2 linked regions of the Caenorhabditis elegans genome follow. The protein of the gene in region 1 purifies or fractionates together with the protein of each later gene. This does not show direct contact. Each region holds a gene or a part of one and is shown on either strand. Other genes may lie near its edges.

What was found. Proteins that work in one complex are often made in the same cells at the same time.
Region 2: the proteins of arl-8 (region 1) and dus-2 fractionate together in Caenorhabditis elegans (co-fractionation; one large-scale study listed by BioGRID). This does not show direct contact.

The regions. Positions count from the first base shown.
Region 1 is NC_003282.8:14,796,441-14,802,960, reverse strand, and holds arl-8 (ADP-ribosylation factor-like protein 8B), read right to left. Parts: upstream 4,813-6,520; 5' UTR 4,783-4,812; coding exon 4,660-4,782; intron 4,612-4,659; coding exon 4,224-4,611; intron 4,177-4,223; coding exon 4,130-4,176; 3' UTR 3,734-4,129; downstream 1-3,733. Other genes in the region: Y57G11C.1142 (uncharacterized protein), read right to left, coding at 202-229, 311-345; Y57G11C.14 (uncharacterized protein), read right to left, coding at 1,958-2,116, 2,166-2,267, 2,312-2,428, 2,489-2,680, 3,458-3,616; Y57G11C.1147 (Protein BRICK1), read left to right, coding at 5,511-5,576, 5,779-5,827, 5,888-5,997; nuo-3 (NADH dehydrogenase [ubiquinone] 1 alpha subcomplex subunit 6), read left to right, coding at 6,000-6,272, 6,321-6,443.
Region 2 is NC_003279.8:14,713,558-14,721,367, forward strand, and holds the start of dus-2 (DRBM domain-containing protein), read right to left. Parts: upstream 4,681-7,810; 5' UTR 4,662-4,680; intron 4,123-4,661; coding exon of another isoform or gene 4,009-4,122; intron 3,962-4,008; coding exon of another isoform or gene 3,839-3,961; intron 3,595-3,838; coding exon of another isoform or gene 3,518-3,594; exon of another isoform or gene 3,279-3,517; coding exon of another isoform or gene 3,206-3,278; exon of another isoform or gene 3,041-3,205; intron 1,474-3,040; exon of another isoform or gene 1,196-1,473; coding exon of another isoform or gene 1,064-1,195; intron 1,001-1,063; coding exon of another isoform or gene 870-1,000; intron 747-869; coding exon of another isoform or gene 581-746; intron 233-580; coding exon of another isoform or gene 1-232. Other genes in the region: gid-1 (B30.2/SPRY domain-containing protein), read left to right, coding at 1-232, 581-746, 870-1,000, 1,064-1,195; Y54E5A.8 (Conserved plasma membrane protein), read left to right, coding at 3,206-3,278, 3,518-3,594, 3,839-3,961, 4,009-4,122, 4,681-4,954, 5,331-5,428; Proteasome subunit pbs-5, read right to left, coding at 5,799-5,914, 6,116-6,450, 6,502-6,905; K05C4.2 (Protein jagunal homolog), read right to left, coding at 7,164-7,424, 7,474-7,782.

The DNA.
Region 1 (6,520 bases):
CTTTTGTTGGAGAATTTGCTCCAATCGTAACTGAAATAATTTTTTAAAAATCTTAATTGAATAGGCATCGGAGGCTCTAGGGTGTTCACCGGCTTTAAGCTTAAACGTACTTGGTTTTTGTCGAATTCAAAAAGAGCAACTCCATGGCGGTTCTGGCCTCCTCCAAATAATTGCCATACGTTGGTGACCCAACCAATTAGATTAATTGCTGTACCCTTTCCATTCATATCTGAAATGATTTTTTTAAATCTTAATTGAATAGACATCGGAGGCTCTAGGGTGTTCAGAGGCGTTTTAAGCTCAAACGTACCTGGTTTTTGTGGAATTCAAGAACAAGGCTTCCATTTCGGCTCTTGTCTCTTCTAAAATGTTACCCACTGTTGGTGAAGCCACATAGATATCGTTGTAGACCACCTCAGTGCCTGTAATTTTTAGCTGTGATTAAGTAGTATCCAAATTTCAACGGTGGAGTTCTGAAATTTGAGAATTAGAAAATTTTTGTTTTTTTTTGTCGAAAATTGTTTTGTGACAGCCATGATGGAGACCCGAAATTAAAAATTTGGCTTTTTTAGACCCAAAATGGTCCAAAATTACCGAAAAAAATCGATTGTTTTACAAAAAAAACGCCAACTATTTCAATATTTTCAGCATTTTTTGGGGCTTTGTTGAAAAAACCCCAATTTTTTGTTCAGATTTCAGAGGTTTTTATCTAGCAAAAGCAGGAAATATACTACTTTTGAACACTTTTTTGAAGTAAAAACTAGCAGAACCGTCTGAAAGTCGTAGTTTTTTTCATAATTTTCAGTCGAAATTTGTTTTAAAGCCGTCAATTTGGGCAGTTTTTTGACAGTTTTCGGTTTATTCGGCCGTTTTAATGGCTTCATATTAGGAAACATTTGGAACAATAGTTGGTTTGACCTTCAATAACTTTTTATTAGCATACTAGCACCGACCGACATTTCGCGAGTTCGAGTGTTAAATTGACCGTCCCATAAAATGTCGGCCGAATAGTGATTGCAGAATTTCAGAGAAACAACAAGGATCGTGATAATTGATAGAATCGGCACAAAATTTTCGGAATGTTTTTTCCTGAAACCTAGATAAGCTACCCGCAATTTGCCAAAAACGGCAACAAAGTTTAGTTCAAGAATGAAAAAAAAAGTTTCCGTTTCAAAACTTTTTTTAATTTATTTCTCTGGAATAGTCATATGTTTGAAGATCACGATGTTCAAAAAACAACACCGCGTTTTGTGATTAAATACCCCCAATGCCGTCACTTTTCGATTTACACAACAGCAGCGGACACCTCACGGGTTGTTGGCATTTCAGTTTCAGTGTCCTGTAAGATATCGGGCGCTTTTAGAACAATAATAGACATCGGAAACCTCTTTTTCTTGGAGTTTAATTTCAGGGAAGACACAATGTATTTCAGATGGAAACAAGAATATTGGGCGAATTAAATAATTAAAATTTTGGAAAAATGAATCATGTTTCGGTACGTTTTCAAATATGTACTAATGCACGTGGAGTCAGAAAGTCCCATTTCGCTTTGATCTTCGAAAAATGCGGGAGGTGAGACGCAGATATATCAACCGATTGCGCATGATTAAGAACGTGCTGACGTCACGATTTTTCCGGGGAAAAATTGCCGCATTTTTTGTAGATCAAACCGCAATGAGACAGCCTGACATCACGTGCTAATGTAACGAATCTAACTCAATTAATTCCTTGTTGATGAAATGTTCACTCAATGAAATGTTGTCCCTCGAGCAGACACAACACCGACCAGTCAGAGGAGAAAGCTACGCCCCTTGCAACTCGCTGATTGGTCGACGCCAATCACATTAGAGCGCGAGTTGGAATACACTGGGAATGTACAGAAGAAAAAGCAACAAAAAACCGCATTCCTTTTACTTGACACACAGAAAAATTCTACGAAAAAATACAAAAAGAAGTTCTAATTCACAAGTTTAGCGTCTTTTCCACAAAATTGAACGTCTTTGATCTTTTTCCCATTCACCAACATAGAAATATCCATCACTTTTTGCGAGTTTTCATCGAAAAATACAAGTTGAACATCCAAAGAGCCATCTTCGAGATGTTGTTTCACGTAGATCTGGAACATTTTCACAAGATAGGCAGTAGGCAGGCACGCCTAGACCTACCTTCATTGGCAATTTGCTCACAGTTCCATCGTCATTATTAATCAAATAATGATTATCCAACACAAGAGCACCACCTGATGGATTCTTAGCCTTTTTGAACGTCTGAAACAGTAAATTTGTAGATTTTGTCTAGATTTGCAGCTTACAGAAGTGGTCAACTCCGAAATTGTAGTGGCCTCCGACTTGGTGAACATCGAAGAAGAAGTCGTCTTTTTCGGATTCGACACCGACGTCGAAGTAGTCGACTCGACGACACCCTTATCCTAAAAAAGTAATTTCGGTGGCCGTGGAAAAGAGAAAACTAGGCCACCAAGAGAACCTACCGAACTCTCATAAGACAGCGATGGAACATCGAAATCAATCGATTCGGCGTGTCCGAGCTGTTTGTTGAAGATAATACGTGGCTTTGACGAGTTTTTCAGCGTCTCATCCATACAAGTTTCCTCACATGAAATGAGCTTGAGGTTCTTTTCCGATGAGCGGGGCTTCTTGTCAACAGGCTTCGGGATTTGCATCTGGAAATTTGTTTTTTTTTTAAGTTTTATTTTAAATAAAACTACTTTTTTCGTAAAAAATGTTTTTGTTCACGATTCCGTGATTATTTTCATTCCGTGATTATTTTCACTCGGGAATCGCTCGCCCACTATGGGGGAGTCTACGCAAGGACAACGTAAGGACAAGGACAACATTCTAATGGAATGGAAACAATTGCCCGATTGCACCAATTCTAGTTCAAGCGAACAATGATAACTCTTGTATTCTGTATTCCTTCACGTCTCCCAGCGAGCGTAATAAATTATTATAATTATTATTATTATTTTCCACAAATTCGGTCTCGAAACGAACAAAAAACATTATATTGTAGATTGCGTAGAAGTGTATGCGCCTTCAAGAAATACAGTACCCCACTTCTCTTACTTTTTTGCAATTTTTTTCCAATTTTCCGCTATTTAAATAATTTTCGTTTTCTTCGATTTTATATAATTTTTCGTTTTCTTCGATGCTTTCTTCGATTTTTATCGACTTTTTAACGAAAGACATTCAAAAATCGATCGATTTGTGCCTTTAAGAAGTACAATACCGCAGCCTGGTCTCGGCGCAATCGAGAAACTCAAAAATAGGAGGCATGCGCCTTTAAAGAGTACTGTACTTCAATCATCTCGTTTTTCGCGATTTTCGTCCGATTTTTCTCGTTTAATAAAGAAAATCCATGAAAAATGAGAAAAAAAGCGGAGAAATTACAGTACCGCCCCAGAAATCGCTGCGAGACCCGAGTTTTTCAGTTTTCAAACCTTTAACTGCTGAACCTCTTCCATTCGTCTAGCTTCTCTAATCATCTTCTCGTTGTCCATCATTCGATTGACGTGTTTGCCACGTTGCAACAGTTCCCGAATCGCTTTATCCAAATTGTCCATCGTTTTGACTGTACAATCACAATTCACACATTCCATCGCTTGCTTCGAATTTTGAAACTGAAGGAATAATTGATTTCCTTTTTTTTCATTCAACTTTAGAATTTTAAAAATTAGGCTGCAATGCTAGAGCAACACGTTAACTAAATGCCTTAGTAAATTTTCAATTTATGAAAAAGAGTGAAGAAGAGTTAAGGAATTAAGCACATTTGTAAAAAATAATGAGAATGGTTGCAGTGGTGTTGCAAAATGTCCAAAAAAGTGATACACAACATGTACATAAAATTGGAGGGAAATTTCACAACTTTTGAATGGGGATGATGAACATCCCACAGTGAAAGCTACCAAAGAAATAAAACTGGGAGCGAATGGGTTGGGGAAATTGACTACAATTGTGATGAAAAAGACGAGAGAGATTAGTTGAATATGGAGGGGAGGGGATTCAAATAAATAATATCTACAGAATTTTCAAAAAAAAAAGGTTTGATTTAATATATTTTGCGGTGTGAATTGTAAATTTTCGAGTAGATTGAGTCGTGGATTGTGCCTAGTTTAGCGTTGAGCTTTCGAGTGATCGATGAGCCATTGGAGGGTGATATCTGGAAAACAATTCAGTTTAGAATGGTTCAAAGATTTAAAAAATTACCAATATTCTCCTTCTCTTTGCATGAAATAGAATAGCAGCAAATCTCGCGATTCTGGATTGATGACAGATTCATTCTTTCGATCAATTGCCGCTCATCAAGTGCTCCAGGCAAATCCTTCTTGTTTCCGAGCACCAAAACTGGAATAGCGTCGAGCTGTGGCTTGTCCAACAGCTGCATAAGCTCATTTCTGGATGCTTCGAGCTTCTCCTCGTCGGCAGCGTCCACCATGAAGACGATGGCGTTGACACCGCGGCAATATCGTTCCCACATCGAGCGGAACCGTGGCTGGCCCCCGATATCCCATAATTTGATCGTCACGTTGCCTTTGGTGATCTTCCGCATATTGAATCCGACTGTTGGGATCATATCTTCTGTGAATTGGCCGCTCTAAAGTGAAGAACATTGAATTTAAATTTATTTTCCAGAAAAACTAACAGCAATAACATTGACAAATGTCGTTTTTCCAGAGTTTTGGAGCCCAACAAGTGTCAACTCCATCTCCTCTTTCCAAAAAAGACTGCGAATCCAGTCGAGAACCTTATTCACCATAGCCAACATCTTGAATATTGATGTTGAATGAGGAAATTCCTGAAAAGTGCAATTCGATTGAAAAGGGTGTGTGTGTGAGAGAGCACAAAGAAAAACAGAAGGGTTTAACGGAAAACCGCTATTAATTTTGGAGCAAGCTCGCTTTTGCTGTTGAAAAAAAAACAAGTAGAAATATTGATTTTCCTTATCGCAAAATTTATTTTGCAGTAACTTTCACGAAATCAAAACCAATGAATCATCGAGAATAGTCAACAAAACACGTGATGTCTATAAAATTTTGAGAGAAACGTTTCAAAACAATAGAATTGCTAAAAGCAGATAGTTTCATTGGATAATATCGGATTGCAATAAGAGTTTTCAGTGAATATAGTCTTAATTTTTACAAATTTCTCAAGCGGACACAGTTTTTTGCTCAGTTTGCTCGATTTTCTAAAATCTGAATTTACGTTTGTCTAACCCATTCTCAATGAATGTATGGAATTTTTGAAAAAACTAATGAATAATCAGTCTATTTCCTTGAAAATTCTCAAAAAATCGATAGAAAATCCCGAAAATCCGTCGAAAATTACGAAATCCAAAGCCAAATCAGTGCGACAAGGAGCCAATCGAACGACCGCTGACATCAAAGGCGCACGCAGTTTCGAGGACGGGTTTCGCCGCGATCGAGTGTGTCGATTTACGCAGCACGCGGCACACCGGCGACCATCCTTCACCGTTTTTCAGCTTTTCAGCGTTGAATGCACGCTTCGGAAGCCGTTCAACAACAACTAAAGGACGACTGGGATAATCGCGAGTTTGAGCAGGTTAGTAGACGGAAAAAAATGATGGAAATCGATTGAAATGTGAATGAAAATTGATTAAAAATGGTTGTTGAAATTTTTGAATATTTTTAACTGCGGTGTTGAAATAGCTTTTCACTTCAGTAGGTTGTGATTTTATACAATTTTACAACAAATATTCATGTGTGAATTCATATCTCCCACACTAACCCGTACTAACTTTCAGATTATTGCCGATAACATCAAGAACATCGCTAACTTCTTGTCCAGCTTTGGTTTGTAGAAAAATTATTATTTTAAATTAATTCCTTTAAAAAATATCTGATTTCTTCCAGAGCTCTCTTGCCGCACAAAACTAGCGACTCTCAGCGACAAGCTTAACCTTTTGGAACGAAAGGTCGAATTTCTTGAAGCCCGTGTCACCAAAGGAGATACTCTTTCGTAATAATGTCTGCAACTGCCGGAAGAGTCGTCCGTGCCGGACAACACGCCGTTCGCACCGTCGCTCCAATCAAATCCAACAATTCCGCCGAGGCACGCATGTCGGTTCTCGCCGCTTATAAGGAGTTCCAACGTCTCACTCCAAAGTTCTGGTGGGATTTCGGACTTCATGATATGCCGCTCGGCGTGTTCCGTGCTGTCATCAAGAAGCAATTCACAAAGAACGGACATCTCACCGATGTTCGTGTCGTTGACAGACTTGTCGGAGAAACTCATCAGGTTTTTGAATAAAATTTAAATTTTCTAAACTCTAATTGTCACTTTCAGCACATGAAATCGATCCGTTACGCATTCTACAACCCGGATCACGTGCGCAACTACCTGTTCGCTGAAAATGTCGAAGCCAAGCCAAAGGACTTCCTCTCCAAATTCCTCAACGGAAAGGAATAGATTTTTTATTTTTCAGTGTTTTATGTGTAATTGTAAAGTAAATTCTCGTATTTTAAATCGAATCGGCTGATACTAGA
Region 2 (7,810 bases), on another chromosome or scaffold:
GGAGCTGTACCTGAAAGATGCGAAAATCGAACGATTCTACATAGATCAGGATACAGAAGAAGAAATGCTTCATATTGATGGAGTTTCAATGCCAACGAAAATGTTTGTGGAATTGGAGAAAAGTGGACAATATCGAAAGTTGAATTATATTCTGAAAATGGGCAGAGAAATTATGAAAGTTGCCGGAGAGATGCGCGGGAATATTGCTCCAGAAGCACGAAAAGTTGTTGAGGTAAGTATAGGAAATTGCGTGTTGGTATGCATCAGATTTGACGCGCAATTTTTTTTGCACAACTCCACGTGGCGCCAGGCTGTCACATTACGGTTTGATCTACAAAAAAATAAGTGGAAATTTTTTTCTTAAAAAATGTAACGTCAGCAAGTTCTTAACCAAGAGAAATCAGTTGAGAACTCTGCGTCTCAACTCCCGCATTTTTTGTAGATCTACGTAGATCAAAGAGAAATGAGACACTCTGACACATTTTTTTGCACATCTATGGTCTCGCCGCGATTTCATACGGGGTTTCTTGATTAGAGCAAAAATCTTACTTACTTATTTGATGAAAATCTAAAATTCCAGATAGCAACATCAATGGTCTCAAGTCCAGAACGCCCTGCAAAACACCCTCTGAGCTTCGCCCTCCGGAGATTTATTGCAAATTCCGTAGTCGATATGATTTGTTATTATGTCCATCATAAACGTGAAGGAAAATCAACAAAACGGCCCCGTGGAACATCTACTGGGGGTACGTAATTGTGCGTCAAGTTGGGTGTTTTTATTACATCGGATTTGACGAGCAAATTTTTGGATGTTTTTGAGAAACTTTTCAGAAATTAATGTACACTAAGGATTCAATCAATAATTACAGAAATACCAGGCTCATCAAGTTTACGAATGTTCTCTGAATTACGTAACCTATTCACCGGTTGGAAGGGTCTTCATATCGATTATTCGACTAATGACAAGAAAATGGCTGGAATTCATTTCGTCCGGAAAATGGTAGGATTTTGATTTTTCTACAGATCAGCAACCTGAAAAATTTTAACAAGTTTTTTTTTTCAGATTCTCGAGGAGCCAAACTTCAATGAAAAAGAGATAATCTATACGGATGAGCCCATGGAATTGGCTCACGAGCGGCCAGATCCTCCACCTCGAGAGATTATTCGTCAGCAGCGAAATGAATTTCAATTTTGATTTTTGATTTTTCTTTAATTTTTTTTTGTTGCAATTCTCGCGCACCAAATTTGATGTATTTGTGTGTATTGGGTTGGTGTTTGCGTACTTTTCAATCGCGGACCCAAACACCACATTTGACGCGCAAATTCTACAAAACTGTATATATTTCCTTTTTTTGTAAATTTGGATTTCCCATGGAACACCCCAATTGAATAATCAACTCAGGCATCGAAACGAAAAGAGCCATAAATTAAATTTATCTCAAAATTATTATTGCAAATAAATTGTATTTTACCAGCCGTTCGCATTTTCCTGGAGTTTTGCAGACCTTCAAGAAAATTCTAGAAATTTCCATTTTTTCTAGAACGTTTTCTTTCTCAGAAAATTTGAATTCCCGGAAAGATGGTTCTTTCCACAATTGCTCCCCTACTAACACCGAACCCTTTAAATGGCGAAAAGTCAGTTTTTCCAAAACTACAGTAATCCTACAGTGCTACCACAATACCCTGACTATGTCCCCCCACTAACCCCAAATCAATATCGCTGTAAAAGCCAAAAAAAACTTTTTTTTTCTAAAACCACAGTAATCCTACAGTATTACTACAGTATCCCGATCATATCCCCCACTAACCCCAAACCAATATCACTGCAAAAGACGAAAACTTTTTTTTCTTCTAAAACTACAGTAATCCAACAGTAATCCTACAGTACCCCGATCATATCCCCCCACCAAACCAATATCCCTGTAAAGACAAAAATGTTTTTTTCTAAAACTACAGTAATCCAACAGTAATCCTACAGTACCTCTACAGTACTACTACAGTACCCCAACCATATTCCCCATTCATACCAATATCCCTGCAAAAGACAAAAACTCATTTTTTCTAAAACCACAGGAACCCTACAGTAATCCTACAGTACCCCTACATTGCTACTACAATACCCCGACCATGTCCCCTAATAATCCCCACGTGCTATATTATCATTTACTATATAGATCATTCACAGTTTTTTGAGTTCAAACCTTCTGAAAGAACTAGGAACAGCCACGCTTACAGGTGGAAAACTCCTAAAAGCGAACTCATTTTTTCACTCATCGTGTTCAACCCTGCAAAAAGCAATCATTCTTAACTTTCGTTCATCAGACACAGACTTTATCCCTATTTTTTGGACACATTAATAAATGATAAGGTTATGTAACAAGGCCTCAACCCGTTCCCACTTTTCTGTATTATTCCACAATATTCAATATAATTTATATTTTTTCCCCTTTTTCTTCTCTTATTTTCACGTTCAAATAAACGTATTCAATAATAATAATATATATAAAGTAGAGTTTCCTTCCGTCCAATGTAGGCTATGCCAACACGCAAAATTACCGTTACTTTGAAAGTTTTCATTTTCAAAAAAATCAAATTAATTTCAAAATTGCACTGCTATTTTCAAGGGGTATTTGAAATTTATTCCAGCCAGTTGGATGCGCCGGGGGCGCGGTCAGCGTCTGGTTTTATATATAAGTAATTATGTTACTGTAGTGCAGGCTCCGCTTGGTGCATTTGGTCAGTGTTTGCGTACTCTCCGGTTGCGCACCAAAACACCACATTAGACGCGCAATTTTTGTCTCCGGCTATGGAACAAGCTAATTTAGGTCTAGTTTTTTTTTGTTGATATTCTAGACCACCAAAATAACCAGTCACATATCAAATCTCTCTCAATCAATTACAACTATTTGTCTCTAATTCTCTCTTTCTCACTCTCACTCTCACTCTCAATTTTCCGATGATTTCCTTATCAATGTGTATGTATGTCTCTTTTTCTGTCTATCTGAGAGTGTGTAACTTCTTTTATATATTATTTTCGGTTTTTTCCTTCTCTTCATCGGCACTGTGATTGTTATTCAAAGAAAAACGAATTTCCAAAAAAAAACTTTTTTTAAAATCAAATTCAAATTTTTAAAACCAATATAGCTATAATGATTCACCGTAGTACTCGGTGATGATTTTTGAAATTTCGAGAAGAAAGCCGAAAATGTTACTTATTCTGTTTACCGCCGTACTTTCGGCACTTTCTGTTGTTATTCCACAGTGTCAGCCGCCTAATGGTTCGTTTTTTCTTAAATTTGCGCGTCAAACATGATGTTCACATTACAATTCGCCGCAAAAATTTGAGTTTCAAGTAATTTTATTGGAAAGAAGCGAAATATTTACGGGATTTCAAATTTGCGATTTTTGGTTACAATACACAATGTTTGACATGCAATTTTCAACGAAGTATGCAATTACGCTATACCGCACTTTTTCTAGGTCTCGAAGCGATTTTTTCAACAAATAAAGTTTGCAGACTGTTCTGTGCACGTGTTCAGTGTCCGACTCTCCCAAAAACCAGAAGCTGAAGATCCAGAAAATACTACTTACAGTGTGAGTTCTACTACAACTACACGTGGTGTCAGAATGTCCCATATCGGTTTGATCAATGTAGATCTACGAGAATCGCAGAAATATAGACGCAGACTTTTCAACTAATTTCACATTGAGCGGGCTGACGTCACATTTTTTGTAAAAAAATTTCCGCATTTTTTGTAGATCAAACCGTAGTGGGACAGCCTGACACCACGTGCAACTTTTTGGGTTTCGTTTTTTTTTTTTAATTTCAAACTTTCAGGCGGTACGAAACAATGAGTACGGTACGAACTACTACGAGATACGTGGCGGAAAAGAAATGACACCGAAATTGGCGGCCGAAATTATTCAGAGTATGGGAAAAGACGCCGATCCTAGGCTTAAAGTTTGTCTCTTTCATATTTTTTAAATCGAAAACTATTATTTTTACAGGAAAAAATAAATAACAAAGAATTCTACTGGAAAGCCGTCGAACCAGGTGGCTCACGTGTCATTTCTGCTTCACTTCCACCACCGCCTACGCAGAAGAAAGAGCAAACGTCTACGGTGAGAATTTGCGCGTCAAATCTAGTGTTTTCGGTTATTTTTCCTTTGTGGACACAATACACCACATTTGACGCCAAATTTTTAAAGATAATTTTGCAGTTTAAAAATTTGTTGGTACCTTCAAAATGAACCAAGAGATATCCCCTGTCAAAATTTTGCACATGGTGCATCGACTCTGAAAAAGCCAGCTTCCGTAAAATTCCAATTCCCGCTGAAAAATGAGATATTTTTTGAATTTCAAATAATTTTCCAATTTCTGTTATTATGCAAATTTCAAGGTAGATGAAAAGATTCGATTGTGGTGGGACCCGACAATTCTATTATTTATCATTGGAGCGCGGTTACAGAGTTTTTAACTTTTTTAAAAATTTTGCCGATTATCGGTTTGTACGACGAAAATATTCTAACAAAATGAAAAAAAAAAAAAATATTCGTGACTATGGTAGCTTAAATGTTTATATCAATTTAGATAACGGCAGGACCCAACACCAACAATTTATATTTCTTTTAACATTAGAGCGCGCATGCTGACCACTTACCAATTTTCGATTTTTCCAGCCAAGTTCCTATTCCTTCAAGCCATCTGATTTCCCGTGGATTCTTGTCGGATTACTCTTCTGCATTGGAATTTTCATGGGCGTCATGCTTACCGCTTGTTACCATTTTATAAATAATATGCAAAAGGAGCCACAATTCGATCGTTCCAGTGCCATTATATATAATAAAGCTGGCGATAGTGTGGGCTCCGAGAGCCGCCGTCCGATGCTTCCCAGGCGGAGAGAGCAGCAAATTGAGCTTATAGAACGGGCATCTGTGGCACCTTCTATGTCCTGTAAGTTTTTAAAAAAATATTATATTTTTTTCACAAACAAGAAAAATGAAGTTTGCGCGTCAAATCTGATGCATTTTGTGTGTCTTTGCGTACTTTCCGATTGAGGACTCAAAACATCATATTTGGCGCGCAACCTTTGTGTTTGATCTACGGAAAACTTAGTTTTGGCAAATTTCGAACTACCCATTGACTTTCTCAGCCAAAACTGTACAATCCAAAGCTGTCGAAAAAATTAGAGAAAGTTGCAAAATATTCCTGGGTACGGTAGCTAAAATATTTAGATCCTACTGATACCCATTACTCTTAAAATCGCACTTTTTCTCAATTTTAATGGAAAAAAACAATTCAAATAATAGCACAATTAAACTATTTCCAGCTGGAACACGAATAGGCCCTGCGTGGCGGAACACTAATGGGACTCCAGCTGTTATAATCACCACGTCATCAACACCCAGCCGACACATATCGCTTTAACTTGATTTTCACATTCGAAAATTGCAATAAACTTTTGAGTGTAACTCCATCTCAGTATCCCTCTAGAACTACTTGATATTAATGTTCCAAAAATCCAATTTGTGCCATGTGATTGAGAGTTTCTTCCAGCCACCCCTGTTGTCGAGGGAAATTCTAAATTCTAAGCCTAAATTCGGGATTTCGAACTTGAAAACTTTAGAACTTAATGTACAGAGAGTATTTAGCAAAAGAAGAATAAATTAATTGGAAACGAAAAATAGAAATAAATGACATTTTAAAGACGGGTGTGTATGTAAAAAAAATCGGGATCGGATCAGACATCAAATACATGTAAGAAGAATAAAATTAATTTCAGCGTAGGGAAATTGAATCACTCGACTGGGTTGTAGGTGATATCTCTGCCGAGCTCATCGGCAAACTCGTACCACAGCTTGCTCACGTCCATTGGTGGAAGACGAATCTTTTCGGTTGGCGTGATGTGGCACACTGAAATTTGGAGGATGAAAAATAGAAGCGATTAGATTAAAGGTGGCCGGAGATTTCACAAAATGAACCAATTTTTTCATTTATCCGAAGAATTTTTTCGAATAAAAATCGTCTAAAATTTAAATTTTAGACAAAATAAAAGCCATTTTTAGTGAAAAATGGTCCATTTTGTGGAATAGCCGAGCAAAAAGCTTCACGTACAATTGCAGACGCCTCCGGATCCAGAATCCCGATAAGTGGCGTGCATGATCGCACGCAGGCCGAGCTTTCTGGCCTCGTCGTCCGTCATCTTTGGCTTGTAGTGATTATCGAGGATACCGTAGGCATTCAGAGATCCTGAGCCAACTGAGCACACTTTAAGCTGGCAACGATCTCCTTCCGAGTCGACTTTGAAGATTTGTGGTCCCTTCTTATCGTATCCGGCCACCATCGATCCAACTGACAATCCTTGTCCTCTGTATCCATAGAGCGTATTTGCAAAGTACTTGCTCGCGGCGCTCACGGTGATTGAGGTCTTCTCGCGGAGCTCGTACAAACTGAAAATAAATAATTATTTTTGTTTTGAAGCTGAAAATATTGAAACTCACGTGCAGTACTTGGCGACAATTCGGGTCCAGAACTGACAGTCAGCAGCTCCTCCAGCCATCGTGGCAACCATACGATCTCCGATGTCCAAGATCTTCATGACCGACTTGGATGAGATGTATTCACCACTGGAGGCTCGTGAATCGACAGCCACAATGATTCCTCCCTTGTCAGCTGGAGTTGCTGGCTCGTAGACGAACGCCAATGTGGTGGTTCCTTTGCGGAATTGCATGGATTTTCCGGCGGTCTCGGCGAAGTGAGTCTTCATGAAATCGACGGGCTGGATTCCCAACGGAAGCTTCGCGAAAGTGAAATCAGCTCGAGCCGGCTCGGCGATCAGGTTCTGCTTGGCCATTGCCATCTCTCCTTCGTCATTCTCGAAATCGTCGAATGTCTCGCCCCACATCTTTGGAGTTCGATTCTGAAAATTGATTTAACAAAATGAAACAAATGCAATCAATATTGAAACAGAAAAGTATCAACGGAACTGTAGAACAGTAACCGGTAATTAGAAAAAGTAAGAAAATAAATAAAAGATATGGAATTATTAATTTGGCAATAGAGACTAGCAGGAATTTGAATAAAAATACTATTAACAAGGAAAAGGTACACAACTCAACAAATGGGGGAAAATTGAAAAATAATATCACAAAACGGAGAAAATTTAATCTCGCTTGACTGGAGCCCATGCGGCGGCAAGGTGATGCATGAAGTACATGGAGAATCCGTGAATCTGGAGTGCGACCGCGAAGAAGATGTACCATATGATGACCATCGGGAAGATTCCTTTGAATGTCGGTGTGTTGCTTCCCTCCATGTCTTGAGCATACTCCATCAGCTCTGGAAGTTGTCCTCCAAGCCCGATCATGCATGGGAAGATTCCGACGACGAACTCGGCATAGTAGGCGTAGTGGAGGATCTTGAGCTGAAATAAGAAGTTATATTTGTGGCAAATTGATCAATAAATAAATTACTTTGTTTCGTTGGAACGAATAGATGGCGAGGACGATCGGAATGAATGAGAAGCACCACACATACTCCCATGGGTAGGCTGACGGCATGTCCAGTCGATCGAAGAACGCGTTTTTCCATCCGAAATTTGTTCGGAGGAGTTCGCTGCCAACCTTGAGCCACATGAAGACCAGGATCAAGAAGTGTGGAACGAAGAACCACTTGAGGATCGACTTGTATTGAGCGCTCTCCTGGTAGTGCTGTGCGACCCTCTGCCGATTTTGGAAGTCCGTCCCATCGGTACCCGCCGCTCGAACTCCTCGTGATGACATTCCCGCTTGAAGTGAGCTGAAATAAAGA